Linked DNA regions of Astyanax mexicanus. The main gene of each other region encodes a partner of the protein of the gene in region 2 in a complex. Links are inferred from orthologs where the notes say so. Each region holds a gene or a part of one and is shown on either strand. Other genes may lie near its edges. The genes, in order: ndufaf1, acad9 and ecsit.

What was found.
Region 1: acad9 (region 2) and ndufaf1 share a complex: the UniProt entries of both Homo sapiens proteins name them as parts of the mitochondrial complex. The link is inferred for Astyanax mexicanus from reciprocal best matches to the Homo sapiens genes ACAD9 and NDUFAF1.
Region 3: the proteins of acad9 (region 2) and ecsit are in contact, whole or in part, in a cryo-EM structure (PDB 8PHE), measured with the Homo sapiens proteins. The link is inferred for Astyanax mexicanus from reciprocal best matches to the Homo sapiens genes ACAD9 and ECSIT. Residues at the interface, in NP_054768.2 of Homo sapiens: Leu180, Thr181, Asp188, Ala189, Ala190, Ser191, Ile192, Lys228, Lys239, Asp240, Lys241, Ile242, Phe293, Ala296, Met297, Leu300, Ile431, Met434, Tyr435, Leu438, Thr439, Leu441, Gln442, Gly445, Thr449, Leu516, Gly520, Lys521, Ile523, Met524; in NP_057665.2 of Homo sapiens: Pro321, Glu322, Glu323, Trp324, Asn325, Leu326, Tyr327, Tyr328, Pro329, Met330, Leu332, Asp333, Leu334.

Annotation. Positions count from the first base shown.
Region 1 is NC_064414.1:7,799,443-7,810,511, forward strand, and holds ndufaf1 (complex I intermediate-associated protein 30, mitochondrial), read right to left. Parts: upstream 4,674-11,069; 5' UTR 4,410-4,673; intron 3,973-4,409; 5' UTR 3,957-3,972; coding exon 3,447-3,956; intron 3,228-3,446; coding exon 3,042-3,227; intron 1,910-3,041; coding exon 1,835-1,909; intron 1,692-1,834; coding exon 1,548-1,691; 3' UTR 1,393-1,547; downstream 1-1,392. Other genes in the region: nusap1 (nucleolar and spindle-associated protein 1), read left to right, coding at 248-361, 773-878, 1,090-1,177; RNA polymerase-associated protein RTF1 homolog, read left to right, coding at 6,030-6,113, 9,890-10,000, 10,329-10,479, 10,805-11,009. UniProt on the Homo sapiens protein: As part of the MCIA complex, involved in the assembly of the mitochondrial complex I.
Region 2 is NC_064431.1:33,844,380-33,854,840, reverse strand, and holds the start of acad9 (complex I assembly factor ACAD9, mitochondrial), read right to left. Parts: upstream 5,309-10,461; 5' UTR 5,225-5,308; coding exon 5,057-5,224; intron 4,523-5,056; exon of another isoform or gene 4,518-4,522; coding exon of another isoform or gene 4,500-4,517; intron 4,054-4,499; coding exon 3,960-4,053; intron 3,743-3,959; coding exon 3,641-3,742; intron 2,471-3,640; coding exon 2,364-2,470; intron 2,090-2,363; coding exon 1,989-2,089; intron 1,899-1,988; coding exon 1,820-1,898; intron 1,170-1,819; coding exon 995-1,169; intron 333-994; coding exon 259-332; intron 1-258. Other genes in the region: poly(rC)-binding protein 2, read left to right, coding at 7,396-7,464, 7,860-7,883, 7,983-8,015, 8,101-8,217, 9,118-9,249, 9,344-9,472, 10,401-10,461. UniProt on the Homo sapiens protein: As part of the MCIA complex, primarily participates in the assembly of the mitochondrial complex I and therefore plays a role in oxidative phosphorylation.
Region 3 is NC_064415.1:31,113,633-31,125,092, reverse strand, and holds the start of ecsit (evolutionarily conserved signaling intermediate in Toll pathway, mitochondrial), read left to right. Parts: upstream 1-6,511; 5' UTR 6,512-6,688; intron 6,689-7,495; 5' UTR 7,496-7,513; coding exon 7,514-7,648; intron 7,649-8,228; coding exon 8,229-8,637; intron 8,638-10,458; coding exon 10,459-10,682; intron 10,683-10,803; coding exon 10,804-10,861; intron 10,862-11,460. Other genes in the region: eml3 (echinoderm microtubule-associated protein-like 3), read right to left, coding at 5,225-5,249.

The DNA.
Region 1 (11,069 bases), on a different chromosome or scaffold from region 2:
CCAATTTGCATTGGTCCATTCGTCAAGAAATGTTAAGTGTGTACTGGACAGTTTCTCTGTTTAATTTATTTAGCAACAAAATAGAGAGACTTGAGCATGAGTTCAAGGGTTTTTATTTAGAATGTTTGCTTTCAGTAAAAGAGGTGGAGTAATAGAGCTGACTGTGTATTACCCAGGATATTATTGCACATTTTATATTAGTAAAGAAAAATGTAAATAAATATTTTCCCTCTTTGTTTACCATCAGGAGTGACTCCCTTTGTCTTCAGTGGAACAACACCCACTCCATCAACTAACAAGAAAAACGCATTTGATCTGAAAGCCAGCCTCTCTCGACCCCTCACCTACAAGCCTCACACAGGTGAGTGTTCTCAGACATGTGCATGATTTGCCATACTATATAACACAACTAAGAAAACGTGTTCTTTAGGTGCAAAGATGATGACAATATTATGTTACTAATACTGTTGATACTCATTCAGTTTTGATTATGATAATTTACCTATTCCAGTATTATACAATGTTCATAACTCAGGATCAGCGTAAACTGTACATATGATGCACATAACAAACAGCATGTTGTCATTGACCTGTCTACCGGCGAGTAATCTGGTTCAGAAAAGGTCTTATTTCAGCATATCTGCATCTGCAAAGACTCCATATTTACAATAAATCTTAATACTGTATAACTAGAGGTTCTCAAGATTCTATACGCCCTAGATCTCATCACCATTACAAGGGTTTACTCTAGACTTTTTTTGTATTCCCACAGGAAAGCTGAAGCCTTTTGTTGAAACTAAAGAAAACGCAGCCTTAAACAAGTCCCAGACAATTCCATCCCACCAGAAAAATTATAAACAGCACCAGGTGCCGACAAGGTGAGTAAGTCAGTGCAAGTGTGTTAAAACATTCAGCAAAGACTTATGAGCAGGCTGCTGCTGCCACTAGTGGTAATGGATGAAATTTAGTTTCCATATATTGCACATCTGCACAACACTTTCTGGTGTTTTAATTCTCATTGAGATATTTGTGTAAGAATTCCAGCCAACAGTTTGTTTATCAACTGAATTTTCTCCTTTTCTTATGCAGGGAGGAACGGCGCATTAAGCACACACAGGGCAGGAGGCAAAAGAAGGAAACGCTGCTTGATGCCAGGCGTGGTCTTGTTATGACTTAAGGCTTCAGTTTTTTGTTTTTCTGCTTTCACTCTGGATACATTTTTAACATTGTTTGTCCTTTGTCTTTGTTTAAGAGCTAGTTTTTTTAGATATCCAGCCATTTTCTTAAAAAGTTCTACATCTTTTCTTTTATGTAAATATGCAAGTTGTGGTAAATGAAGATGGTGATAAATGTCAAGGGGTGGGAGGGGAAAAAAAAAAGTATGGTCCGGTGTAAAATCTGCTTTTTATTTGCTATTAAATGATTTGTTTTGTACATTGTCTGCTTTTTAATAGAGTAAACGTGTATTACATTACGTTTCAGTTGAACAGTCCTTATGAATGAATAAATTAAGGTGTTTATTTTGTAGAGAGTCCACCTGCAGCCACCTAGGGGACCTCGGGGTTCCTTTTAAACTTTTCATATGCAAACTCCTCAGTGTGAGCACGGTCAATACACAGAGCAATGAAGTCAATCTCCAACTGAAATGGGCCATCAGCTTTGTCTCCCAGTGTGAAGCCAATATTGTTCACCTGAAAATATGCCCAAAACAATACACAACAGATAGGTGTTAATTTACAGCAATAATGACTATTTACATTCTTAAATTAGCAATATTTTCAAAATGGTATTCTTTTCTACTGTGGCTTTTAGCTGAGGAATTAGTCCAACAAACCTTGTCCAACCAGAGACAGTGCTGGTCATCTTGTATTCTTCCTCGACTTGAGAGAAAAAACTTTGAAAATGGAATCTGATAAAACAAAAGAGCACAAAAACAGTATTAAATTTCCTATAGATGCCTGCTTAACCTGAGAAGGAAATTTTTTCTCCATCACTATATTTTGATAAGTTTTTTGATCATGGGTATTTTTAATGTGAACGAAAGGTGTTGGAAACACCTGGTATTATTGGTGCCAATCCCTGGGGGGGGGAAAAAATAATCACAATATTATGTGACTAAATCCTGGATTAAAAATCATGATAAATATTTGTTTAAATGCTGGCACCCATCTGTATGTTTGGGAATGGGGACCAAAATAATAATGTAGGCACTAGTCCTGTTACAGCTGCATATATGCCCATTGAAAATTGAATTTTTGATTTATATGGAATGTATTTTAATACAATGTAAATATATTAAAGAAGCTTAGTTGGACGTTTGTCTCAATTTCTCTTAAGTCTCTGCACAGATCATCCTCTTACTAGAATACGTACGTCTGCTATGTTCTCGCTTGACTGTGGGCATGATGTGATGTGCAGGTGTGATGGATCGTATAAACCAATAGGGTGTCAGAATGGTATATGTTTATACTTCTCTACATCCATTCACAATCTGATTTACACTATTTGGATGGAGAGATTTATCTGAATAGGATTTTTTTTATATATTTAAATGAAATGAGAGTCACGAAGCTAAAGAAATAAAATATCTGCTAGTCATTACTCCAGTAAAGTATATATAACCAACATTTCTATTTAAGTAAGGTAAGGTATTTGTAGTTGACACCTCTGCTCATAGCTCAGTACTCCCTATAGTGAACTATATTAGACACTAGATCTTAGATTATGATATAATTGTACATAATTTTCTTTAAGAAATATTCCATGCTCTGTTTACATCTAGAATCTGCCATTTTGTGACTTGTATATTACACTACTTACGGAATAATGTGTAATTTGGAATTAAACATGTGTTTTATTATTTAATAGTTTGGATGTCTCTCTTTATAAGGTACTAACACCCCAAACAGGGCTTGCAAGCTTATTCAAACATTATCTGCTCTGTGTAGATAAAGTTGTTTTTTTTTTTTTTAAAGCAAGATGTTTTAATGAAGTGGCTGGTGAGTGTGAGCATCTTCTGTTTTCACTTTTGCTGTACAAACCTTGACTTCCTGCCAGTACGGACCCCCTCGGGTGTACAGGAAGTAACTGTAAATGTCATTTTTGTTGTGGGAGAAATACATCTCTGCTGAAATGTTAATCATCCAAGGTCTCCCATCTCCACGGAAACGAATGTATAGGGTGTTGAATGTGGACCAATCAAAATGCCTCTTCCTGTCAAATGAGAGCTGTAGGGGAATAAGAACACAAATACAAAATCAATATTTAATCAATCTTTTAGATATTGTAAATGTATTATTAAATAACATTGATATTGTGCTACATACAGGCAGTCATCAAAATGCAATGATGTATCTTGATATATCTAATATGACAACATACTTTATTTTTTGTTACATCACCCAACATCCCACCACTCATACAAAACAATGCATCCCATCACTAACCAGGGTCTGTTTGGAGCGCAGTGTGCAGTACCCACTGTAACGTGTCTCCCCGTCTCGAGGTGGAACCGAGCACAGGGTCCCGTACAGCATGCAGGTAGTGTTATTTTTCCCCAGCTTCAGGTATGCTTCACTCTGGCCCCCTATTTCTTTGTCTGAGGACACCACCCACTGATCCAGAGACTCTGGCCCCCGGAACTCCCATTGCACCAGTGTCTGCTCCAGCATATGGTCCAATAAGGGCCGACCCTCAGGCCCCCTCAATCTGCCCACAAACTCATCCTTCAGCAGACCAAAGTGCTTTTGTATACCCTCAACTCCTTTAGAGAAGTCAAAGCGGATCTTCTCCCAGGGCCACCGTTTGTCTGGAGGCTGGCCTGGTCTCTTGTATTCTCCATAGATACTCCTGGTGCTCAGGATGGTTGGATGTGAGAGGCTGGGCTGGAGAAGCTGTCTCCTGAACAGGCCACACACTCCTGCTGGAGTCTGGAGTGTCACCCTGGACACAGCCATGACTGCCAAAGTTTACCTGATGAGCAAACCACAGTCATAATCTTTCAAACACCTTCTAGGAGAAAGAACAAAATAGTTCTTTGGAAAAAATGAAAAAAAAAAAAAGTATGTTTCTAATAAGGGGGAAAAATTATATCAAGATATATTCCTTCATTTAGCTTCAATACATTTGAACACTGCTATTGATATGAAAAATAAAAAAGCCACTGCCTGTGCTGCATGCCAACAGTAGATGACATGGCTTCCTTATATATACACTTTTGGTATCTTTTTTTGTTTCTATTTCCTGTATCTCTCTATCCCCGGACTACATTATCTTTTTTGTTTTGATCTTTGTTTTTTGACAACGTACATTGAATGTAATGAATGTAGGCCTATCGTTATGCAAAAATATTCAATACAACTCTAGTGTATAACTAAGGACTTTACACACATACTTAAGAAGGCACTTACGCAAAATATGTGGAGCCCAGCTTGTTAAATGTAGGTGATGCGGGTCAACACTGACACTCACAGACACGATAGACACACAATCACAAAATCCACCAGCGGCCGGTTTAAAAGATTATACATAAAGTTCGTATTAATCCACAGTACTATTAAACACGCATAGGATGAAATAAATAGGTTAAATTAAATAAACGCTGCATTAGTTCTACACCCTGTGCTCTCTCCTCTAGGCTGCCATTGCGCTCTCCCTCATAAACAGCCCGTACGGAAACACGCTGACGCTGCTCGCGTTCCGAAGTTGCGCAAGTTGCGGAGTTTATAAAATAAAAATTAAAAAAATCTTAAATATAAACTAACACATATCGCCACTGTCCAACGAAAAACAAGTATCACCACTTTTATAAATGTTAAGTTTACTACATGATTTGAACACAGACACGGTCCCTTACACTGTGTCAAAATTTCTTGATGAATGGACCAATAGAAATTCTCCAAAATTACCTGAAATAAACCAATTTTACATTGACTTTCATTGAAAGTTAAATCAGTTTTCTCTTTCTATCTTTTCTATCTGTTAAGTAGCTTTTTTAGATATACATGTTTTTCATTGAATAGTGATAATATACGTCTTCTGTTTAACAAACAGGAATCGCTGTTTCCTATTAAATAATATTTAGGTTTAAGAACAAACATTAACACATTTACCAAACATTACACAGTGAATAAGACCTACAGTACCAGTCAAAAGTCTGCACACACCTCTTTGCATTCAACGTTTTCTAAATTGTAGATTCATATTAAAGACGTGAAAACAATTAAGGGACACGTATTAAATGATATTAGGTAGTAAAAAAAAATGTTTGTCCTTCACAATCCCCTGATCTGAACCTGACATATTCTGGTTTGTTTAACACTTTTTATTTACAGAATAGTTCAGCAGGTGTTCCTGTATAGCTTTAATAATGCCTTGTAAAAATAATAAAAAGAAAAACAACACATTGAATAAAAAGGCATTGTGATCAAAGGAACTATTTATTGGTTTAGTCATTTGTTTATCTATTCCTTATTTTATGTTATTCAATTTATTTCATTATTATTTCCATTTGCAATGTCTGTGTGAATTACACTAACTGCTTGATTCATTTATACAATAATAATAATAATAATAATAATAATAATAATAATAATAATAATAATAATAATAATAATAATAATAATAATAATAATAATACAGACACATTTCTGATGAATTACCAAAAAAGAATTAAAAGAATTATTGGGCTTTATATTCTCTGTTGTTTTGTTGTTTTGCAAATAAATAAAGATATCATAAAACATACAGGTTGGGTGCAGATTAATGTGTAAAATTAGTAATCTTGTATGACTGAACAAGAAGATTTTTATGAAAAAAAAAACATGGAAAATCCCAATAATATTGGAAATAATAAGGTAAAATGTGTGTTATTTAATTATTACACAGAATCTTTTTTTTTTTTTTGACCGCAACTACGTCACCGACGTTCTAATGCGTGCACGCCACCGTGTGTTCGGAGGTCTCGCGGAGAAGCGGCTCGTTCGTGTCAGACAAACAAACGGAGCAGCGGGAGCTTCACGGGCTAAACCATGGTGAACGTGAAGAAGCGGAAAGGTCGGGTGGTCATCGACTCCGACTCGGAGGACAGTGCCAGCGACGACAATCTCGACCAGGTAAGAACCGTAGGTCCATATCCAGCCCGGGTTCTGCCCGGAGCAAGAGAGAACCGAGCTAGCGGCTAACCTGGCTAACCCAGCTAGCTGGAGCTGCGCTAGCGCCGTTAGCGGGGAGCTAAAACCTGGGCCTGCGGAAGGGTTACACCAGAACAGCTTTACCGTCTGTTTACAGACCCGCTTTACTGTAATATCTCCTGTTTTTATTCTCAGTTAGAGGAAAGACGCGGTTTTACACTGGGCTGAAAGGGCTGGCTAGCGAGTTAGCGTGTAGCAGCTAACGCTGGAGGTGTTGAGTAGCGTAGTGATGTAGTTCAGAGGCTGTAAACACCAACGTGGGAAGCTATCCGGTCGAATACTGTTTAATATTACTTACAGAGTTTTTAACACACATTTAATCTATTCATAGTTAAAGTTACTGTATATTATAGGCTATAAATAAACCCCTCATCTTCTCTAAGTCTTTATTTGGCTAGAGTAGCTAGCGTTAGGCTAAGTTAATGTTAGGTCCATTCTATCCATGTGCGGTGTTTGCTTTTTGCATGTAATTTTTCCAAGGCGAATAACATACAGGCAAGTTGTCTCGATATATATGTGTTTGTTTGTGGATTTACTAGATAATAGAATTAGTGGATAAGTTTTAATAAGTTTTCCAACAGTGTCCCTCAGACTGCATTTAGTTCCAGTATGAGCATTCTGCCTATGTTTTCAATCTGAGTTGATCATTTTCAATAGTAAAAGTGCTCCCTCTTTAACCAGAAAGCTTTTCGAACTGATAAACATTTGCGTTTTATGCTTATTTCAGTGATGTCTGCAGTGTGTAACACACATTTAAGTCTGTAATCAAAGAATTGCAGGTTATAATCAACCCCAGCAGTCTCTGGGAGTAAATGAGGTCAAATCTGCTTGTGTGTGAAAATCTCAGGTTTATCATTTAAGCATACACACTCACTCTAAAAAATCTTTTTAACGAGAAAGCCTTTGCTCCCTGGCTTTGAGCTTTTTTGTTGTTGTTGTTGTTGTTGTTTTGTTGTAAACTAATTTTATCATGGATTATTGCATGTGATTTTTCTAAGGCGAATAACAAAACACACAGGAAAGTTAGGTATATGTGTGTGTATGTGGATTTACTAGATAATAGTTAGTGGATAAGTTGTAACCGGTTGCTCAACAGTCTCTTTCAGACCTCATTCAGTTCTGATATGAGCATTCTGCCCCTATTTAAACCCTGAGTTGATGGTTTAAATAGTCAAAAATTCTCCCTCTGTAACCAAAAAGCTTTTCGAAACTGATACAGTTGTGTTTTTCTAATTTCAGTGATGTGTAGTGTGTGTGTGTAACCCATTTACTTTCTCTAGTTGAATAATAATAACAATAGGTAATAATCAAACCCAACACTAAATGATATGAAATGAGGTCAGTTCTCATGAAAATCGCAGGTCATCATTTAAGCATACTCACTCACTCAAAACCGGCTTCTAGCTTTGTGTTGTGTTGTTGTGAGCTAATTTTATCCTGGCAGTTGAGATGGAGCAGAGCCGCAATCACTGCCATAAGTACCAGTGGATTAGCCAAAGTCTTTCTAATAAACCAGGAGTGGATTGACCCCTGTGCTGTGATCATCACTATCACTTTCATCGCCTACATACATATATATATATAACAGTGGTTTAGATCTACAACATAACCTTAACTTAACTTAAGTTGCAATAATTGAGTGTTTGCGCTGATTCCTGCGGAAACAGTGTCAACACTTCTTCTGGTGAGAATCGACACTAGATTGCTTTAGGGGTTTGATTTTGGTCAGCCACAGGAGAGCATTAGTGTGGTCAGGCACTGATGCTGGATGATGCATCTTGGTGTGCTCTCCAGCAGTTATTTACACTGATTATATATATATATATATATATATATATATATATATATATATATATATATATATATATATATATATATATATACATACACTGCTCAAAAAAATAAAGGGAACACTCAAATAACACATCCTAGATCTGAATGAATGAAATATTCTCATTGAATACTTTGTTCTGTACAAAGTTGAATGTGCTGACAACAAAATCACACAAAAATCATTAATGGAAATCAAATTTATTAACCAATGGAGGCCTGGATTTGGAGCCACACACAAAATTAAAGTGAAAAAACACACTACAGGCTGATCCAACTTTAATGTAATGTCCTTAAAACAAGTCAAAATGAGGCTCAGTATTGTGTGTGGCCTCCACGTGCCTGTATGACCTCCCTACAACGCCTGGGCATGCTCCTGATGAGGTGGCGGATGGTCTCCTGAGGGATCTCCTCCCAGACCTGGACTAAAGCATCCGCCAACTCCTGGACAGTCTGTGGTGCAACGTGACGTTGGTGGATGGAGCGAGACATGATGTCCCAGATGTGCTCAATTGGATTCAGGTCTGGGGAACGGGCGGGCCAGTCCATAGCTTCAATGCCTTCATCTTGCAGGAACTGCTGACACACTCTAGCCACATGAGGTCTAGCATTGTCCTGCATTAGGAGGAACCCAGGGCCAACCACACCAGCATATGGTCTCACAAGGGGTCTGAGGATCTCATCTCGGTACCTAATGGCAGTCAGGCTACCTCTGGTGAGCACATGGAGGGCTGTGCGGCCCTCCAAAGAAATGCCACCCCACACCATTACTGACCCACTGCCAAACCGGTCATGCTGAAGGATGTTGCAGGCAGCAGACCGCTCTCCACGGCGTCTCCAGACTCTGTCACGTCTGTCATGTGCTCAGTGTGAACCTGCTTTCATCTGTGAAGAGCACAAGGCGCCAGTGGCGAATTTGCCAATCCTGGTGTTCTCTGGCAAATGCCAAGCGTCCTGCACGGTGTTGGGCTGTGAGCACAACCCCCATCTGTGGACGTCGGGCCCTCATACCATCCTCATGGAGTCGGTTTCTAACCGTTTGTGCAGACACATGCACATTTGTGGCCTGCTGGAGGTCATTTTGCAGGGCTCTGGCAGTGCTCCTCCTGTTCCTTCTTGCACAAAGGCGGAGGTAGCGGTCCTGCTGCTGGGTTGTTGCCCTCCTACGGCCTCCTCCACGTCTCCTGGTGTACTGGCCTGTCCCCTGGTAGCGCCTCCAGCCTCTGGACACTACGCTGACAGACACAGCAAACCTTCTTGCCACAGCTCGCATTGATGTGCCATCCTGGATGAGCTGCACTACCTGAGCCACTTGTGTGGGTTGTAGAGTCCGTCTCATGCTACCACGAGTGTGAAAGCACCACCAACATTCAAAACTGACCAAAACATCAGCCAGACAGCATAGGTTCTGAGAAGTGGTCTGTGGTCCCCACCTGCAGAACCACTCCTTTATTGAGTGTGTCTTGCTAATTGCCAATAATTTCCACCTGTTGTCTATTCCATTTGCACAACAGCAGGTGAAATTGATTGTCAATCAGTGTTGCTTCCTAAGTGGACAGTTTAATTTCACAGAAGTTTGATTTACTTGGAGTTATATTGTGTTATTTGAGTGTTCCCTTTATTTTTTTGAGCAGTGTATCTAATTTTTTGCAAGTAAATTCCCCAGATGACAATTTTATTTGAAAGTTGCAAGAAATGTTGTCAGTAGTTTATAGAATAAATAATATTAAGTCCATTCATCACAGAGGTATAAAAATAAATATGTTAAACTAAATTACTTTATTTTGAATTATGACATATTTAAGCTTGTGATTTCCAAAAAGTAAAAAGCAGTGCAAGAAATTGTCTTCTGTACTGTTGTCTTCTAGGAGCTTTTGTCCCTGGCTAAAAGAAAGAGGGTAGACTCAGAAGAACAGGAGGAACCTGTCAGTAAACCAGCAGCATCTTCAGACTCTGAAACCTCTGACAGTGGAGATGAGGTAAAGTAGCATCAATCATGTTTGTTCTTGGTTTATTTTACTTAATTTTTGTACTTGTAATTTACTTTATTTTAATTTAAGTGAGCTACAAATTAAATCAAAAGGACCTTTGCTTTGTTAGTTTATTTGTTTGTGGTCATATTATAGATCTTTGTAGATCATTATTTTCTGCCTATTCTAAAAAATGCTTCCATTTAATTGAAATTACTAATAGTATGTGCCGTTTATTGGGTTTAAATCATTGAGAAATGTAACAACTGTAGTTGCGATTTAAATGCAATTCATTGTGCAGCTCTAATGTTTCAGTGGTCTTTGTGTTGTATATTAGTGGACTGTTGGAGGCACTAAAGCTAAAAAGAAGGTGAAGCCCGGTAAAGGAGCAGAAAAGAAGAATGCCACAAAAAAGAGGCTCAACAAGGCAGCTTCGTCAGGCAGCTCAGATGGAGACAGCTCAATGGAGAGTTCAGCACCAGAGGAGGGTAAGTGAGAAACACACTACATTCAGATTAGCAACAAAAATCTATCCAAACTTCTTAAATATACATATATATATAGATAATAAACGTTTTTTCTGACCTTGTATGTATATTTGTTGTGTTGTTAAATAATGATAATAAATGTAATGTATGTTATATAATGGTATGTTGTATGTTCCTTAAACAATTACAGCATTAGTACAGAGAAAGTTTAGTTTATTAAAAATGCTGCATATCAATCATTTAGAAACTAGAACCTTGAAAGTGTTGAAAATGTAAACACTTGCAAATTAGCAAAAAAATTGCTAATGTTTTCTGATCCACACAGGTGAGGTGTCTGACTCTGAGAGCAACAGCTCCTCTTCAAGCTCTGATTCAGACTCGTCTTCAGAGGATGAAGTGTTCAGGGACGGGTACGGAGATGATCTCATGGGAGATGAAGAGGACCGGGCACGTTTGGAACAGATGACTGAGAAAGAAAGAGAGCAGGAGCTCTTTAATCGTATTGAGAAGAGAGAGGTGCTCAAACGGAGGTGAGGAGATGCTCTAGTTTCTGAACATATGAGACTCACTTTGACGGGGTGAAATGATGA
Region 2 (10,461 bases):
TAGAAAAAAACAACAGACATTATGCAGATTTATTATGTTTCTGAATCAGTTTCTCTGATTTTGCTATTTATAGGTTTATGTTTGAGTAAAATGAACATTGTTGTTTTATTCTATAAACTACAGACAACATTTCTCCCAAATTACAAATAAAAATATTCTCATTTAGAGCATTTATTTACAGAAAATGAGAAATGACTGAAATAACAAAAAAAGATGCAGAGCTAATATTAAATAAATAGATTTGTTTTAAGCATTTACCTTAAATCCATCTCCAACTTGCCCAATCACGTTCTCTACTGGCACCTTTGTGTCTTCAAATGTCACCTCACAGGCTGGAGATAAACACAGATACAAATATATATATATATATTTAAAATCAAAATGGCTCAGAATTTTATCAAGCAAAATGTGTTATAAATAATGGAGAAGAGAAACTAATACAACAAGATACTAAACCAAAAATACCAAAAATACCAAAAAAACCAAAACCAGATACATAAAAGAATGGAATTCCTCGCCTGCTCCACTACATAAAACTGATAGAAAAACAAGGTTTAAAAACTACAAAAAAAAAAAACAAATAAAAAACTGTGTACATATACATATGTCTATATCGATGCATCGCAATTGAAAAACTTGAGGTTTGTTGCAACATTTATGAAATATTACACAGTTGCATTGTTTAAACAGCAGATGTCACAATCCTTCCAGTGCAGGACAAAGAACCAGTGGGCGTAAGCTAAATATAAAAAATAAAAATAAAGCACACAAGCATTTTTTTTTGTTTATATGATTAAAATAAATAAAAATGAATTTCTTGTTATTCAAAATGTATTTCAAATATTGGGAGTAAATTTAATTGTGAATCCAGAATCGAAATGAATCGTGAGCAGACTGTATCGTTACACCTTTTAAAAATACAAGTAAAGTTAGTAAAGTTATTAAAGTTATTCTAGTGCACTAAATAAATGCATTGTGAAATGTATAAACTCACTGTTTGATCCTCGGATGCCCAGTTTATCCTCCGGTTTGCCGCAGCTCACCCCACCAAACGCCTTTTCTACAATAAAAGCTGTAATTTTGTCTTTCTTCTGCCCGTCCTTATCCACCACCTCTGTTCTGGCGAACACTGTCATAATTTCAGCGATTCCACCATTAGAAATCCATATCTAAAGAGAGAATTACACAGAAATAAAGAATTAACATTCCTCAGAGACTTATCAGAGATACTTCTTCTTATTATTATTATTATTATTATAATAATTTCAGTAAACCTTTATTTTCATGTCAACTGAACTTGTAAAAAGACTAAAAGCTCGGGAATTGCGAACAAATTCTGCTTTAAAACAGTTTTTATAGCTGGAATCAAACTGTAAACCAGCAGAAAACTATAAAAGAAAAGCTTCTAATAAAGTGAGCAGAGAGTGTACAGGGAGTGTCACTTAAATATGATTCAATTTTGAATGAGAAAATTAGCTCAAGTGGTCCAGCCATCTAAAGCGCTGCCACTATGATTGGTTCGAATCCCGGTCATGCAGCTTGCCATCAGCTGCTGGAGCCCCGAGAGAGCACAGTTGTCCTTGCTGTTTCTCTCTGGGTGGGTACAGTACAGTAGATGGCGCTCTCTCTTTCCCCTCATCACTCCTAGGGTGATGTGGATCAGCACAAGGCTGCGTCTGTGAGCTGATGTATCAGAACCACAGAGTCGCTGCGCTTTAGGGGGAGTCCTAATGAGGGGACTGGGTAATTGGCCGAGTAAATTGGGGAAAAAATGGGATAAAAAACTTAGAAATAAAATAAAAATAAATATGATTAGAACCTTTGAGCCGTTGAGCAGGAAGTGTTTCCCATCCTCCGTCAGTTTGGCGCGGCACTGAATAGAAGCAGCATCGCTTCCACTAAAAACAGAAGACACAGGTTTTGTAAAATTCAAGCAGAATACACAGGAATTAGAATAGACGTTCAGTTAAATGTTAAATAAAACACACCTCCCGGGTTCAGTCAGACAGAAAGCTGCTATATGCTCTCCTGAAGCCAGACGGGGTAAATATTTCGCTTTCTGTTCCTCAGTTCCAGCCAACAGGATACCCTAAAACAACAACAGTGCATTAATTGAGACAGTATACGGTTTAATTCTATATAATTCTCCCTATTAGTGGATATACTAATATACATACATATATAGATATATTAGTATTTTTGTCATTTAAAACAGTACAATATCCAATTTATTGTTTAGTATCGGTACTTTAAAAATGAGTGTATTTTAATCATTAATCTTAAAATAAATAAATAAAATAAAAAATACACAGGACAGAAAACTGTCCGAGAGAAGCTTCATAAATCAATAATCTAAAGCTCACCTTTAATCCGATGGACTGATGTGCTGCGAGAGTGACGGTAATAGCTCCATCCATAGAGATAATCTCTCCTAACCGAGCGAACATCGTGTTCGACAGGCCGAGACCTCCTGAGAATCATCAGGGATCATAAACTTTTAACCTATACATTTACAGGATTTTATCATGACTTTTTCATGCCTTCAAGTTCAAATTCTCATGAATATACTATTTTTTAAACCAAAAATCAACTAAAACTATAATTAAAATTAATCTGTCACACAACGTTTAATAATAAAATGTGTGTCAGATCCTGAGAGCTCTATTGTTTAGAGCTAAATTACTGAATTAACTTTGAGCTGATTTGTTTTGTATTTGTAGCTCAAAATAAATTTATTCCTTCAATAAACTAAAGCACATTTTTAGATTTATAGACCAAATTTTCATGACTTTTCCAAAACTTTCTAGTCATTTTAATTTTATAAAACTTATCCAGGCCTGAGAATCACTGCTATTTTCAAATTCCATCACTTATCCAGGTTTTTCATGAGCGTACCATCATTTTGTCATTTAGACAAAAACTTATATTCCTAAACTTTAGTTCTCCTAAAGTACAGATCAAAATCAAACTTTTAAAACTTTTTAAACACAGTACACAATATACAAGTGATCTATCAGATTATGAAGGAACACATTAGGAATCATGTAGTAACTTAAAAACAGTGTTAAACAAACTAAAATACTCTGTGAAGTATTTAGATACTCTTATCTGAGGAGCTGTTTGTTAACGTGTGGTTTCTGAGGCTGGAAACTCTGATAAACTCATCCTGTACAACAGAGGAAACTCTCGCTCTTCTATCCTTTCCTGGGGCGGCCCTGATGAGTGCCAGTTCCATCATTTTTTTAAACTGCACTCAGGGATACTTTTTTGAAAGGTTCTCAAAACCTAAAATATTTTTTATTCTTTTTTAGTTGAGTAGTTGTTTCTTCTCATAACCTGGATTAGAACATTACTGAAATATTCACTATTCACTGTATACCTGTAACTCTACCTCTTCACTACTTTACTTTAACTGATGCTCTCAAACTTTACATTAAGAGATAAGAAATTCAAGTAATTAACTCTTGATGAGTTCAGCACAGCTGTTAACTGAAGGCCTGAATTCCAGGAGACTCTACCTCATAAAACTGACTGAGAAAATGTTTCTGAGGCTGGTAACTCTTGTTCTTTCTTTTCTGTGGCGGTCCTGATGAGTGCCAGTTCCATCATCATAATGTGTTTGATAGTCTTCTGAACTCACCATACTCCTCAGGTATTTGGATCCCGAACAACCCGAGTGCTTTCAGTCCGTCCATCGTTTCAGGAGGGATAAAGGCTTCCTCATCGATCTTCTTTGAATCGACTAATAAAGATATACAGTATTAACAGCAGGACTTCTCAGGGTTTATTTACAGGGATTGAAACTAAGGAAAATGTCATTACAGGACATTACGGTATAATAAATATAATAAAGTACTGTAGTTATCATAACAGTGAAAATATGTCACACAGTGTGTGTCTGTGGGAACAGACAGTAAAGGTCGTAGCTTAAAATATCTAGTAAGAATCTCTTCTCTCACCTTCTTCACTGAAAAACTTCTCCACCGGCGGCACGAACTGATTAATCTCCTGCAGCTCTTCATTACTGATCTCCGGATAGGGAAACACCTCTTTCTACAAGAGCAAACCTTACAGTATTACACGATTTCACTTAAAAAGAGATAAAAAAAATGACATGTGTGTGTTTTATTCAGTCACACCCTCACTAACCTCGACCCCAGCATCAGTATCTGACCTCTGAAACGCTTGATACACGGGCAAAATGTTCTACAGTCATTCTAAACCCTGACTCAGATTACACAGTGCACTGCAGCGTTCCTGAGAGTTACACTGCAACAGCAGCATTCCCAGTGTATATAAGTGCATATAAGGTGTATATACGCGTGTGTATATAGGTGTATATGCAGCGTAAAAAGATGTATACAAGGGAATATAAGGATATATAGGTAAAAATTAGTGTACATAATGAGGTAAAGTACAGTTTTTTAGCGTATTTAAGGTGTATATGAGTGTATATAAGTTGTTTATGAGGGTATATAAGGTGTATACAGTGGGTTTACCTGGTTGACTTTGCCCATGAACAGGTCTTTATCGTAGATACGGATATATAAGTATATACCATGTTTTAATTGGTGTTAATAAGGTATATAAAGTGGGTTTGCCTATTTGACTTTGCCCAGGAACAGGTCTTTAGCATATATAAGGTGTATATGAGAGTATATAAGTGTATATAAGGTGTATATATGGTGTTTATGAGTCTATATAAGGTATATATAGTGGGTTTACCTGGTTGACTTTGCCCAAGAACAGGTCTTTAGTGTATATAAAGTGTATATGAGGGTATATAAGTGTATATAAGGTGTATATAAGGTGTATATAGTGGGTTTACCTGGTTGACTTTGCCCAGGAACAGGTCTTTAGCGTATATAAGGTGTATGTGAGGCTATATAAGGTGTATGTATGGTGTTTCTGAGTGTATATAAGGTATATAAAGTGGGTTTACCTGGTTGACTTTGCCCAAGAACAGGTCTTTAGCGTATAAAAGGTGTATGTGAGGGTATATAAGTTGTATATAAGGTGTTTATTAGTGTATATAAGGTATATAAAGTGGGTTTACCTGGTTGACTTTGCCCAGGAACAGGTCTTTAGCGTAGGCTGCGCTGCTGGGGCTGGTTCTGACGGAGCGCCGGGGCTGTAGAGGAGCTGTTAATCTCGCTGGAGGCGGGAATAAAGATGTAGAGAGTTTTAATGATCTGGAAATCGATAATAATCTGCTAAAATTCATGTTGATAATCCGCTGATCGCCACCGCTCTGCCCGCAGCACCGCCACCCTTCACCCGCTACCCGCGCACAGAGATGACGTCACTGCACTTTAACTCGCTTTAGAGTCAAGCCATAATCAATTACTAATTTTATTACTAAGAAATTATAGATTATAAACAAAAGCACTGAAATGCTGTATCTGTACTCTACTGGAACACAGCCTGCCTGCAGAAATTTAGTTAGCTAATTTTAGAGGGGATTTATTACAGTAAAAATTGCATGCAAGGAAAGAAAAACTATCTAACACATTTTTCAATAAATAAATAGAGTTTTAGAACCAAAATAATAATAATAATAATGATAATAATAATATATTGCAATAAAGACACAAATGTGTATATAAATCTATATAAGGTGTATATAAGTGTATAAAGGGTGTATATAAAGTGTATATAAGGTGTATGTAAGTGTATATAAGGTATATATAGGTGTAAATGAGGGTATATAAAGTGTGTATAGGTGTATATAAGGTATACTACTGTAGTAAACAGCCTTTAATTTACAATAGACAAATGTGTACTACTACTACTACTACTACTAATAATAATAATAATAATAATAATAATAATAATAATAATAATAATGTAAAAAATAAAGCAAAATAAAGCTTCCTCTCGGTGGGCGTGTCCGGGGGCGGGGTCTGGGTGAAGGGTGAAAGTTGAGGGTGTGCTGTTTGTTGTCTTTGTGTGGGACTGGAGCTTCAGCGCACTCTCGGTTCTCCCTGCTCCCCGAGTCCTCTCTAAATCCCCCCCTTCATCCATTACCCTCCTCCCGCTCCTTCCCCTCTACCCTCCGCTCCCTCCGCTCCCCTTTACCCTCTACCCTCCCCCGGCCCGCCGACAGGTAAGCGCTCCGATCACCGCAGCCCGGTTCCTAAACCCGGGGGACACTGCGGGAAACAGCGCGGAGCAGCGCGGCCTGCTAGCGCTGGATAGCATTAAGTAGCATGGCTTATTTAGCTTAGCTAACTCTCCGTTCTGTACTTATGGGGATAGCTAATATAGTTAGCTTAGCCTAGCATTAGCTTGTTAGCTAGCGTTAGCTGGTCCTGAATCCCTCAGCCAGGCCTCAGTAAGAACAGAATTACAAAAATGGGGTTCTAACTAAAGTTTATAATGATATAACTGCTCATAATTGTCTAATTTCATTGCTTTAATTAGTGTTTTAGTTTAGTTATGTGTTTATTTTTTATCAGTTTGGTTAGCTTAGCTTAGCAAACAAGCTGCGTGGCTGTAACGTTAGCTACCTAGCCTAGCTTTAGCCAGTTTCTTATATTAAATAGGGCTGGGTGGTATGATCCTAAAATTATATCACGATATTTCAGTGTATTTTTGCCGTAATGATATTTTAGACTATATGACTAAACATTGAATTAAAAAAAGATAATTCCAAGAATACACGTCAGAATAATATATATAATATAATATATAACATAGGTCAATGATCCAGCATGTAGCTAGCTAACTGAATAGCTAAACAACTAAATAATTCCAAGAATACACTATTGCATCAGAGTAATATAACGTTATATAGTATAATATATAACATAGATCAATTATCCAGCATGTAGCTAGCTAAGTAAATAGTTAACTTTTGTTGCTTGGTATATTTCATATCCATAAATGCAAATTCAGTGTTGGTAAAACAACTGTGCTACTATACTTCATATATGTGACTCCATAGGAATAAAATACTCACTCTAAAGGACCTAAATTGACCTCTTAATCTTTTTTACGGTAATATTTGTTGCCTCTTTACAGGCTTTTTACATGTTTGTATGTTGTGATTAATAATAGTGATAATATTAAAAAATATATTTATTTTTTCAGTTGTCAAAAAGTGCAACGTTCAGTTTATTCAGTTCAGGTTAAGACTAGAAAAAATGGAATAAAATAAATAAACCCTGGAGACCTGCTAGAGGAGGAACATACATAGACACAGAGATGTGTAAATCAAGTTGGTAATGTACTCTTGAGAGGGGTATCCAGTTAACAGTCCAGTAGATTTGACCGAAGCACTTCATGTAATTGTAACCTTTTTCTTTGTATTCGTTTGCTTCAGGTCCAGCTTTGTGACCAAAGACTCCCTTTTCCTATCACATTCAACTCATTAACTCTATATAAGCCATCATAATGGACTCTGGTGTGATTGAAGGAGGACTCAACGTCACGCTGACCATCAGACTACTCATGCACAGCAAGGTAGGCTTCTGTTAATCTGATTTAATTCTTCAACATTGACACCACCATAAAGTATTAGCATTACTTTTATTTTTCTTTTAAGTTCTTCAAGAACCACAGAAACATAATTGTTATGGCTATTTAGAAATTATCTGTAGATAAAGGGTATATTTTATCATAAATTTGAGCAAAAGAATCAGTTAGAAACCTTAATCCTAATTCATTATTTAGAAAAGATGCAGATTGTACAGCATTTATAGTCTACTTTATAGACTAAGCTATTTTGCGTACTAAAAAGTACAAGCTTTAATATTTATATTTGCCTATAACCTTTATTTATGAGGAGTAATCTGTATGTTAATTAATTTAATGTATATAAGCTAAAGTGATTCCTTTAAATTTGTGTGTTTATACAGGAAGTTGGAAGCATAATCGGCAAGGTTGGCACTTTTTTTTGTTAATTTTCCTTAATTTTCCACATTTAAAATACAGATTTTGTATGTGTATCTAAATCTATTTGCGTTTCCTGTTTGAAACAGAAAGGTGAATCTGTGAAGAAAATGAGAGAAGAGGTAATTTTAATGCTGCTGTGGATTTTTTAAGAAATATATATTTATTAATATACTTTTAAAGTAAACAGATTTTGCTCTTTTGCAGAGTGGTGCACGGATCAACATCTCCGAGGGGAACTGTCCAGAGAGAATCATCACTCTAGCAGGACCGACCACTGCCATCTTTAAAGCCTTCTCCATGATCATCGACAAACTCGAGGAGGTACAATTTAACCCTGGAGTCATTTAGGCACTTAAATTGTGCTTTATATGTTAAATATAAAGTAATTTATTACCCCAGCTGACCTCCAGTTTTAACATTAGGGTCCTTCCAGTGAATAACCATGTATGTTATAATTTCATATATATTTATAAAGTATCTTCATACATTTAGTAATACCAGTCTAAATAAAGCATAATTTAGGGTTTTTATGTACAAAAAAAAGAATGAATGACTGATCTCTCCCCAAAAGTTTTGAATATTGGGATATGTTGTTTTTTATAAGCAGTCTTTTAGTAAATTAAATTTTTTTTGCAAATTGCATTTGTGTAGAAATTAAAGGGTTATGAACTACATAAAGGGTTAAAAGCAAAAGCTAAAATCTGTATAAGTTGTCGTATCAACTCACACTTTTTACTCAAGTAATTCAAGTTAAATTCTTGGTAGATATTGATATGTGTCTTATCATTTCTGTCTTATCATTTAATTTTATTATTATGTTTTTTTATTGTTTTTGCTTTTGTTCCCCTACCCCTAAACTCAGTTTTTCTTTTTCTATTTTTTATTTGTTTTATATTGTTTTTTTTATTTTATAATATCTTAATCATATTAAAATGCGGGGTCTATTTCTATTTATTTATTTATTTATTCCCTGTGTATTCACTTCCCCTCAGTTACATTCAATGTACGATTGATTGATTGATTGATTGATACTCATATATTGTGGTAATTACCCATTAGTGTTCTATATGCACCCGAAATTAAGCCAATTTTGCACCAATAGTGAGTCTTATTAACTGCAAAATGCAACCGTACATCCTCCTGTTATCCCTCATTTATTAGCGCAATTACTGTTGTTTTTATTAAACATTTCCAATAATCCGTGATCATCTCTCCTCGCAGGACATCAGCAGCTCCATATCTAACAGCCCGGGCTCCAGCAAACCCCCCGTCACCCTGCGCATCGTCGTGCCGGCCAGCCAGTGCGGATCCCTCATTGGGAAAGGGGGCTGCAAGATTAAAGAAATCAGAGAGGTAGGGAATGTCTGAAACTACTAAATTAAAAATAGAATAGTAAATCTGGTATTTCAGGGTGATGTAATGTCTGATATCTCTGTTTCTCTTAAAGTTAACCGGTGCACAAGTGCAGGTTGCTGGAGACATGCTGCCCAACTCCACAGAGCGAGCCATAACCATCGCCGGAACCATACAGTCCATCATTGAGTGCGTCAAGCAGATCTGTGTAGTGATGCTGGAGGTAGGAGGTTTTGGTTTTGAATTATTCTAGTATTATAATTTTTTTTTTTAAAGGCTAAAATATTTTGTTTTTGGGAAAGTGCATTTGAATTGCTTGATTGAAGAAAAGGTAAATAAATAGTCCCATTTTGAGTTTTGCATTTCTTTTTCTTTTCTCTAAATCTCCTTAAAAACTTAGTTTTCTGAATCAGTTTCTTTGATTTTGCTATTTATAGGTTTATGTTTGAGTAAAATGAACATTGTTTTTATTACATATCTATTTAGAGCATTTATTTGCAGAAAATGAGAAATTCCTGAAAAAATTTCAGAAATAATCAATATTTGGTGGAATAATCCTGGTTTTTAATCACAATTTTAATTTCATGCATCTTGGCATCATGTTCTCCTCCACCAGTCTTACACACTGCTTTTGGATAACTTTATGCTGCTTTACTCCTGGTGTAAAAATTCAAGCAGTTCAGTTTGGTGGTTTGATGGTTTGTGATCATCCATCTTCCTCTTGATTATATTCCAGAGGTTTTAAATTTGGTAAAATCAAAGAAACTCATAATTTTTGAGTGCTCTCTTATACGTTGTATGTTTTTTTTAATTAATTTTATTTATGAATTTATTTGTATTTAAGCATTTCCTTACTTTTTGACACCTTATATAATTAGCTGCACTGTGTGAAGATAAAACAGACACCTTTTTACAAGTGAGCTTTAAAAGCTTTTCTGTTTCTTTTTAGCTCTTATTTAGGAGAAACCTGCAGATTTACTCATTATTCGACCTGCTGTGCTTTTTTTTTCCTTAGAAGAACAGATAGCGTTAAGGATACAGTTAAAGATAAAACTGATCTGGAGAAGCTCTTTGGTTTACAGATTAAAGAGACAGGGCCTTGTTTTTATTTTGCTGTTCCTAAACTCATGCAGGGCACCGTTTCTCTGTAGTCTCCTCCAAAAGGTGTGACCATTCCATACAGACCCAAACCGTCGGGCTCGCCTGTGATCT
Region 3 (11,460 bases), on a different chromosome or scaffold from region 2:
TCAGCATTGGTAGGACTGACTCCGCCCAACAGGAAGTCGGCCATTTTGAAATATCTGCATTTTACACACATTTTTTGTGTACATTGTCAAACTACTCCTAGCAAATTTGTTGAATTCTCTTGGTATTTGGTAAAAATAAACATTGAACATATCTGATGATAAATTGTGAAGGAATAGTCGATATCTCAAACGAGGACGAAATGGCAGATGGTTGAATTTGTGAGATGCCACATCAAAACAGGAGTTCAAAACCTAGGTAATGCCAGGTGTTTTGAGGAGGTTATAACGGAGAAAAACTCACAAAATTTGACCGGCCTGCTTATCTAAGGCTGTTCTTTGATGTAGAATTAGAATGTCAAATACATGTATTTTAACAGCGCTAAAGCGCCACCTGTATTTTAAATGGATATTTCACGTGTTTAACAGGATAGAAAACTCTTGAAAATTGGCACAATCAATAAGACCTTAAAATTACTTTTACCGGTTTCTCGGTTTGGCCCGGTACGATTTGCGCTGTTGTGCGAGGGCCCTACGTCCCCCTGTGACAGGGGGACAACTCGTTATTATTATTATTATTATTATTATTTTTATTTTTAAACTTCGCGCCCATTTTTGAGGCCTTTCTGATACTCGAAAACTCTTGAATTTTGGCACAGACATCAAAGCCGGTGAAAAATTTGAAATTTCACAGTTCCTGGGCTTGGGAGTTGATCAGGAGCTCTATAGCGCCCCCAAACGTTGCCAGTGGCCGGGATAAAGTTTGTCCAATGTGCACCAACTTTGGTACGCTCATTGACCTCATTATACCGATCAAGAATCACTTGGATTTATTTGACTCTGCCTAACAGGAAGTCGGCCATTTTGGCAGGAAGTCGCAAAATAAAAAGTTTCCCGTGGTGTTTTGGGTGGGTTACGATGTTCGAAAACTCATAAAATTTCACAGGCATATTGGGCATAGGCTGTACTTTGATGTAAAATTGGAATTTTTCATATTCATAATTTATCAGCTCTCTAGCGCCACCTATTTTATATGACATTTATAGAAAGCTCTTAGCCTCTTCTAAATAAGCAGACCCAATAATGCCTTTAAATGATTTTGAGAAATGTAATCGTTTTTCTGATGTGGAGCTAAATGACTCTACAGCGCCCCCTATTTGGTTTAGGCTAATAAATTAGCGGTAGCTGTCTCAAATTTTCCCCAATGTTCAAGATTTTTGGTAGAAACATAGATATTACGATGCCACACATAATACCCATTGGCATGTATTAGCTCCGCCCAACAGGAAGTCGGCCATTATGAAAAATGTTAAATTTTTACACATTTTTCACGAACTCATTCGAACTCCTCCTAGAGTCTTTGTCAGATTACAACTAAATGGTCTGTGGATAGTCTCCAGACATACGTGGTGCTAAATTGCGAAGGAATAGTCGATAGCTGAAACGATGACGTAATGGCGGGCAGTTGATTTAATACAGACACAACACTAAACCACATAGAAACATTAGCATGGTCAGAATACAGCTGCTTGGAAATTCATGAAACTTGGCAAAAACATAAAAGACATCATTACACACGTTTTCAGTGTTGATATGATTGACTCCGCCCAACAGGAAGTCGGCCATTTTGAAAAACGTGCATTTTACACACATTTTTTGCATACTTTGTCGAACTCCTCCTAGGGAATTTGTTGAATACTCTTGATATTTGTCAGCAATAAACTACTACCATCCGTGATGATAAATTGCGAAGGAATAGTCGATATCTTAAACGAGGACGAAATGGCGGACAGTTGAATTGCTTGAGATACCCCATTAAAATAGGAAGTAAATACATTCTGGTGTTAGTAGGTGTTTGAGGAGGTTAAACAGGTTGAACACTCACGAAACTTTACAGGCCTGCTTGATTTAAGCGGTCCTTTGATTAAAAATTTAAATTTCATATATACATATTTCATTGGCTCTATAGCGCCACCTAGGTTTCAATGCATATTTGACATTACGGAAATGCTCAAAAACTCTTGAAAACTGTCAGATTCCATAAGATCTAAAAACACTTTACAAATATTGTGATAATTTTTTCATGTGTAGCTAGCGGACTCCACAGCGCCCCCTAATTTGTTCGTTTAATAAATTAGCTGTGGATGTGTCAAAATTTGTCTAATCTTCTCAAATTTTGGTAGGATCGTAGATAGTATGACCCTGCACATATTTGCAATTGGCTTGTATTAGCTCCGCCCAACAGGAAGTCGGCCATATTGGAATTTGTAATATTTTTACACATTTTTCACAAACTAATTTAAACTGCTCCTAAAGTCTTTGTCAGATTACCTCTTATTTCGCTGTAAATGAACAACAGACATATTTGATGATAATTGCCAAAGGATTAGTTGATCGGTAAAACGGTGACCCAATGGCGAGCAATTGAGTCACTAGAGACGCAACACTAAACCAAAGTGAAACCATGACACGGTCAGAAAACAGATTATTGAAAATTCATGAAACTTGGCAAAAACACAAAAGACATCATTACACACATTTTCAGCATTGGTAGGACTGACTCCGCCCAACAGGAAGTCGGCCATTTTGAAATATCTGCATTTTACACACATTTTTTGTGTACATTGTCAAACTACTCCTAGCAAATTTGATGAATTCTCTTGATATTTGGTATAAATAAACATTGAACATATCTGATGATAAATTGTGAAGGAATAGTCGATATTTCAAACGAGGACGAAATGGCAGATGGTTGAATTTTTGAGATCCCACATCAAAACAGGAGGTGAAAACCTAGGTAATGCCAGGTGTTTTGAGGAGGTTATAACGGAGAAAAACTCACAAAATTTGACCGGCCTGCTTATCTAAGGCTGTTGTTTGATGTAGAATTAGAATTTCAAATACATGTATTTTAACAGCGCCATAGCGCCACCTGTATTTTAAATGGATATTTCACATATTTAACAGGATAGAAAACTCTTGAAAATTGGCACACTCAATAAGACATTAAAATTGCTTTTACCGGTTTCTCGGTTTGGCCCGGTACGATTTGCGCTGTTGTGCGAGGGCCCTACGTCCCCCTGTGACAGGGGGACAACTCGTTTAGTTTATTTCTGTCTGCATCCAGTAACATGCATGTGTGGTTACTTCAGTGTTTTCGTAACAGTTCCTTGTCCATATGACAACACTGGAGTTTAAAAAAAACTCAACATTAAAGCAAAATATGACATAACATGAGGACAAAATAAAGACAAAAACATTTTAGAAGTTCTGTAAATGTGTCTGGGGTCTAAATGACATCTTTCTGCAAATATACATCCATAAAAAATATTTTGCACTCCTATAAAACAATAGCCACTTGTGACCGAACTGTGAAGTCCAAACCATTCATACCAAACTGTGATGTCCAAACCGAGGTGCAAACAAAACCGTGGCACCCGTATTCACGATACGATACTAGTTCTACCTACCACACTAGTTTCCCTGTCGCCCACCGTTTACAAACTGAAACATGCAAATATTTACTATTTTCTGAGTTTAGAGTTTCATATAAAGTATAATGCAGCATCAGACAGGACAGGACCAGTACCACAAACAGTAATCACATTAATTCAGCTGATTTCTAAAAGTTCTACAGACCCAGCACACAGCAGACAGAACTGGAAACACACACACAGAGCAGTGAGTTACCAGATACTTTCACAACCGAGATATCTGCTCAACAAGCCACGACAATGACAGCTAGAGACTCTGAGCCGCAGTGCTTCCTTTTCGTGGTGAAACGGAGACATTTACAGCGAAAAAACAGAGAAGTCACAAAATTAGATAAGCATCACTTCATGACAACCCTCCTGGCTAAAAAGTTTTGGTTCTTAAAACATTTCTAAAATTCTTGGAATAATTGTTCTGTCAAGTTTTCTAAATGTTCTTAAAACATTTCTTGTGTCAGTTTTCATTTTTAGTTTTGGGAATGTAACTTAACTATAACTTTTATGATTGGTATGCATTATCATGTCACACGTTTTCAGAATGTCCAGGAACATTGTTTCTGTAACGTTACAGGCTCAACCATCCTAGGACCTTTTCATCACTGTGATTTTACAGAGCTATAGCTCCAGTTCTCTCTTACAGAGTGTTAGACAAAGGCTGAAGTGGGATCGTTTTCTTAATGTTACAGTTAATCTTCTTGGAACGTTCATTCCGGAATGTTTTTGTTTAACACTTTTAAACATTTTGGTAATGTCGCTGCAATGACACTTTTTGTTTTAGCAATACTAATACATGTTTCCATAATCTTGGTATCCATCCAGCTGGGAACGTCATGTGGAAAAGGTTCTCATAAGGTAATGATGCAAACTATTATTATGCCACACGTTTTCAGAACGTTTCTGTAACATTAGACCCTTTTCAAAAAGTTGCTAAACGAATTCAAAAAAGAAACCACTTCTTAAACAGTAACTACGATCCTTTATTGCGGCAAACGTTTTCAGAAGGTTTCTTAAACATTAGACACTTTAAAAATGTTACTAAACGTTTTTAGAACGTTCTCTGTTTGAATTCAAACGTGAAATCACTGAAGCGCTACTAAAGCGTAACTGTCATTTCAAATTCTCAGCAGGAGAACAACTAAACACTGGTTTAGATTTATTTCAGCTCTGTGATATTACACAGCTACAGCTCTAGAGTGTTACAGTTAACGTTTTTGAAACGTTCGTTCTGTCAGGTTTTTTGGATGTCGCTTTTAAACGTTATGGTTAAGTCGCTGCAACGTCGCTTTCAGTTTTGGGGACGTTAACTATGTAAAAAACGTTCCATAAGGTTGGTATCCATCCAGCTGGGGACGTCATGTGGGAAACGTTCTAATAACGATGTGGTGCAAATTATTATGTCAGACGTTTTTGGAATGTTTCTGGAACATTAGAACCTTTTTTTCTAAACGTTTTTAAACGTTCTGTGAATGTTCTCTGTTTGAATTCAAACGTGAAATCACTAAAGCGCTACTAAAGCGTAACTGTCATTTCAAACTCTCAGCAGGAGAACAACTAAACACTGGTTTAGATTTATTTCAGCTCTGTGATATTACACAGCTCCAGCTCCAGCGGCTGCAGTGTGTGTGGTGAGTGTGTGTGGTGTGTGTGAAGCGGAGTGACAGCGGCTCTGAGAGACAGACTGAGAGCAGGGTGCTCAGCTGAAGAGCGGCTACAGAGTGAGGGAGGGAGTTACTCACCGAGGCTGTTTGTTGATCCATCCATGTCGGAGTCGCGCGCTGCCGCCGCCGCCGCCGCTGCTGTTCACACCTCTCGGAAGTAGCAGCTCATGCTGGGAGAAGTGCAGTCCATTCCTGCCCAATATAAAAATCAGTACGGCGTTTAAGATCCGCGGTCCTCAAGTCTTAAAACACACTCACACACAGTGTGGACAGGAGCGCACGTGCGTGTGCGTGAAGTGAAGAAATGCAAGACCACTCCAAACTCCCCAACCCAGGAAATGAGCTGCGCAGCTGCGGAGGCGAGCAAGTGCGCGATGAGGAGAGAGAGAGAGAGTATGAGTGTGTCTATGACTGTGCGGATGGATTTTTTAATCCATGCAAGAGATATAAAAGCTGTAATCCAGTTAACTATGTTCACGCAAACTATTCCCCCCTCTCATTACTGAGACTCAGAACTCACTTATCTAAACTCCCGCTGAAGCGAGGCGCCACAGCTCCAGTTCAGCCCAGGAAAATAACCAAAAAAAAGAAAAGCAGAAAAGTTTTGACTGTAAAACTGCCAGTTCACTGCGTCCCCTGCCGACGATGCTGCAAACAACAGCCAGGACAAGAGGAGACATGAGGTCGCAACAGCCCTGCAACAGCCTAGAGGGCGCCAGAGAGAAAAACACTAAACCAATACCAATATTACAATGTTCTTTTGTCTGTTTTTGGTATCAATATTATTAAAAAAAAAAACGAATTAGGTTTTGTTTCTATTCATGTGTTGTTTTGTGTTTCCTGAAAAAAAAATTGAAAATAAGTTGATTAGGTGATTATTTTAGGATGGTCTCCGTGATTTCCTGGTGCGGAACTAAAGCGGCGGAACTATAAGCAGAAGGTGAATGTTTCCTGTGAGTGTGTGAGGACAGAGGACGGACCGGTGTTCAGTCGAGTTGTGCTACCTTGTCAAACCGTGCTACCCTAGTAGTATGTTTAACTTTAAAAATGCAAAAGAAGCACCTTATTAGAGCATGTTCTCAGCGGAAGTCTATGTAAATCTGTGGAGAGTATAAATCACTGTATTATTGTACAGTTTGTATAGTTGTGACAGTGAGAGGTCATTAGAAACTACTTTTGTATTAAAAAAAAAATAATTATTGTATTTATTATTATTAATTTCCATTTGTACTTTTTATGCAGTGGCAAGGAGTCGTTGTTGTTTAATGCACAAAAAACAGAATTTTTTTTTATTATTTATTTATTACACGAGAAATAATTAATAACTGTAGGTTAGCGCATGCGCAGTGCGTTTAGGAAGCACGTATCGATGGATAGCACAACTCGACGGAACACCTAGCCGAAGTATAGCTGGGTTATGGCGGCGTGTTGTGAAGGAGATGTGACCGCTGGAGATTTAGAGCTACAGCTCCATTAAACCGCCTTTAAACCGAGTCCAGACTCAGACTGCACCACGGGACACTATCTACCAGCCTGACCACGGTAAATAATCACACACACACACACACACACTGTATTAATACACCATGTTAACCCGGGTTAACCTACCGGCTCCGGCACAGGGTCAGTTACGGACCTGCCCGTATTAAATAACTACATTAACTTCAGATAACTTCAACTCTGAAAAAAATAAGAGACCACTTCAGAGGTTTTCAATTTGGTAAAATCAAAGGAGCTGTTTATCTAACGTTACCCAGTTATACCAGTTAACTGCATGTGCAATGTCAGTGCTTTGGTTTAAACTGTAACCACATTATTCTAGCTATGAGTGGATTAGAGCAGCTGTAAATTATATCATCATTTTTAGCTGTATATTAGTTATAATTGCCTAATTCTATAAGAGTTAGGTTGCTAATGTTAAATGTAATATTTTATACGTGTTATGTAATACTACATAATTCCTTATGCATTAGTTAGCTAGTTAGCTGTATCACTATTGTTATAGCTGTTCATTTTCTATAACTACAGTACTCTGTGTAACTATTTATGTTAGATAAGATTAATCAAGATTAATCCGTTTACAAGCCATGTTTATGTAAACTCACATTTGTATATTAAATGATTTTAGAAACCTAACTAGCTACTGTAAGGATTTCTTTCTTTGTTTTTATAGGTACATTTCATTATCGTGAATTGGGATAGAAAATAGAAATATTATACTGCCTTGTTTTCAGATTTGTTTCATTTTTACTGTATGCGATATTGATGATTGATTATTGATTATTAATATTTGTTAAGTGAAGTAAACTTAAGTGAAGTAAGTCCTATTCTATTCAATTATCTTTGCAGAAATAATGAAATCTCACCATGAAGATCACTAGATTTCTCATGCGAACCCAGCATGCTGGGTGGATCACTCTTTTCGTCAAGACACCTATCAAGCCCAGCTGTTTTCATGCGGCTCTCCTGCGGCCCCCAATCCCACGTATCTGCATTGGTCAAGTAAGTATTTACTTGACTGTTTGTGTTGACAGTTTAAAAGTACGACATGAACTAGCAGATTAGCAGGATTTTTACACAGATGCTACACTTTTTGTCCAAATATTTGTGGACACTCCTTCTAATGAATGCATTCAGCTGCCTTAAATTGCACCCAATAGAACAGGACTCTCTGGATCAGATACACAAATACACTGTTTGCACCATGCCTAATCAAGGTGTGGGCTAGACTGCTAACCAGCTAACTCACCAGGCATTGAGCTGTGGATCAGCAGGATTGTGTTCTCTGGAATTATTGTGCCTTTTTCCGTACTGTTTGGATGAGTTAGGGAAATGGAGATGAGGAGGCAGGGTGGTGATCTTCCAACGTTCTACCTTTACTAACTTTTTTTTTTGGTCACAGAATTCAATCATATTTTCACAGCAGTGCTCTAAAATGTCTTGTGTGCTTTCCTGGATGTTGGAGATTGTTACCTCAACTGGGACTAGATAAACTAGATTTAAGAAAATGAAAGAGCTGGTGTCTATATATGTTTGTTTGAATATGTATTTCTACATGTGCTGTTTTTTCTTTTGTTTTAAGGAGGCAAGATGGATTCATTGTGGTTCCACAGTTTACAAGGACAAGCCGGACAATTCAGATCTGAGCAAGTTATTTGAAAATGAAACGAAGGCCAAGTCTTTGGTCACACATGATGACTTGTTTGAGAGAACAGCTAAAGATGCAAAGAATAAAGCCAGTTTCAACAGAGTGGTTGATGTCTTCAACAAGCAGGACATCAGGCGCCGTGGACATGTCGAGTTTATTTATGCTGCTCTACAGAAAATGCCAGAGTTCGGCGTAGAGCGGGACCTTGCTGTCTACAATAAACTGCTGGATGTGTTTCCCAAAGAGGTTTTTGTGCCTCGAAACTTTATTCAGAGGATGTTCAATCACTATCCCAGGCAGCAGGAGTGTGCAGTGCAGGTGCTGGAGCAGATGGAAAATTATGGTGGGTTGTGTTTACCTTTTCTTTGGCCCAAAACTTACTTAATACTTATTAATCACATCTCATGGAATTTGCTAGGCTGGGGGTATCAGTTAAAAAAAAAAGAATAGGCCAGAATGCAAACCAGCACATAATCTTTGTTACAAAAAAAAAAAAAAGAAACATATTGAAATATCTACTTCTATAGTCTCCTGAATGGGTAATATGTCTTTAAGTTTTAGAATACTAAAGCTTCACATTTAAACATAATTGTCTTCACTGTCTTTGGATAGATAACATGATCGCTGCAACACTGCTGCAAAGATGCTGCTGTGTCTGTTAGCATTGTGACTTTAATCTAGATGAGCTTGACTCTTAGTATAGGGGCTAACCTGCTATGCTAAGAATCACCTGCAAACATGATACACACGGCTTATTTTATCTAACCAGCCCACTCTGTCTCAACACCTATCAGCAAGAAATCCAATTTAGGCAAAATACACTCTTTAAATCCAAGTATAAATTCCATAGCAGTCACCCAGGGGCATGTCTTAGTTAGTGGGTAGGGATTGACAATAATAAAAATTGGGGACAAAATCGAGATGAAAATGATGCATACATAAATTAAATGATTTAAGTGGAAAAAAAAAAAAAATTAAATGTCATAAGTAAGATGCTATACCACAAGACCACAGACTAAGGAACAATGGGCCATACATACATGAAAACAGCTTTATTATTAGGGCTGGATATCCAAATGTAATTGCAAAAAAGGTACCGACCAAAATGTTTTGGTATTATCGAGTACTGAAAGGGCCAAAAAAAAATGTCGCACACAAACTTGCTCACTCGTGCTGTCTCTCTGTCTGTCCTATTGTCTTTCCGTCTCTCGCTCACTCGCGCTGTCTTTTGCTCACTTACTCTGTATCTCGTTCTCTTGTTCTGTCTCATGCACATTCGCTCTGTCTCTCGCTCACCCGCTCTGCCTCATAGTCTCTTGCTCGCTCATTCAGTCTCTCGCTCAAGAGCCTTTTCTGGTGTCAGTATGAGTGAGATTTCTCATGTCTGCTGTTAATTTAATACATTGTTTAAAATTAATCATATTGATTTTTGTATTTTTTAGGTACAATTTAGAAAAAGGTATCAAAACATAGAATTTGGGCATCAAATTCAAAGTATCCTTATCAGTATCGGTATCGCTATCAAATTTTAAGACTATACCCAGCCCTATTTATAAGCCTTTGGAATTCTACTTGAGTCATGGAGCTATTATTTGTATCCTATTAAGATAGGAATTACAATGGTACGACGAGTATAACGATGTTGTTATTCGTATGCTGTGGCTTCAGTCACCAGTTGTCCACACATTTTAACACCTATGGAAAATTGTGGACCAGATGTGTTAGACTAGACAGCACTCTTCGCCACCATCAAAACACCAACTGAACAAATATAATTCAGAGGAATAGTGTTCAGAATCTACTGAAGTAATTGCTTAGATAAAAATTCTGTTAGTCCTAAGAATTGCTGTGTGAATGGGTGGAGCTAACTGTGGTAGGCTGAATGGTTTGGACATGCAAATGAGTTTCAGAGCTCAAAGAAATTCAGTTTTTTCACAACATTGTTTCCATGATATATATCGCATATAAATCCTTTTGCTTTAACACCATCAGGTTTGATGATAATAAAATGCTCACATGGCTCAAAGCTAAATGAAAAATAGTGTTTACAGTATTTGTGTAAACTAAACATGAAACATGTTTTTTCAGAAAAAAGTAAACCATAAATTGCATATCTTGCTGTTTTTCTGTGTTGATTTATATGTGCTTATCTTTAACCTGTCAGGAATCGTGCCTAATGTGGAAACAAAGGTCCTTTTGGTTCAGATCTTTGGAGAAAAGGGCCACCCTGTGAGGAAATATCAGCGTCTAATGTACTGGCTTCCCAAATTCAAGCATATAAACCCGTTTCCAGTTCCATTTGAGCTCACGCAAGACCCCATCGACCTTGCACGCTTCAGTCTCACCCGCATTGCTAATGACCTGGATGCTAAAATTACAGTTTACCAGGTATCGTATCTCTTCGATGTGTGATATGTACATAGTAAATTGATTATTATCCTTTGTTGAGTTAGGATGTAGTGCTATTCAGATATTTATTAATTTACTATTACTGTGTGTCTATTTTAAGTATCCATCAACAGACGTCACAGAAACAGGAGAGGAAGTCACCCAGCCACATATCGTAGGTAAGCGCTTTTTTATTTCTCTGTATTCTTAAACAGATAAAACATCATTTTTACTGAAGTTTCTTTAGACAGAAGAGTGAGGTTTTTACACACACCTTTAAAATAAAGTTGCTAGAAATCTTTTATATGATGCCATAGAAACACCAGTTTTGGTTCAATGACAAACCTTGTTTGTAATATGTAGTGAGAGAGAGGGTAACATTCTTTTAAATGTTAAAAAAGGTTCTTCACTAGTGGGAGGGGCGTTATGGCCCTAAAATAATTACAGTATTCTTAAGGATATGACAAATTATTGAGTAAAAATATGATATAGCACACTGGTTCCATCTATTACAGCAAGATGTCCAGGCCCTGAAGCAGAAAAGCACCCCCGGACCATTACACTACCACCACCATGTTTCACATTCAGTATAATATAATATGCCTTTTCTGAAATTGTGTTAGTTTAGCGCTAGTTTGTTGTTTGTTGTTAGTTTGGATAGTTTGTTTCCCTTAATAATATAATCATATAATTGAAAAAGTGCTTTTTATATTAACTCCGGTTATATTTGTCTAATATTAAAGTTTGACAAGTCTGAAAGTAGTAAATATGACAAAAA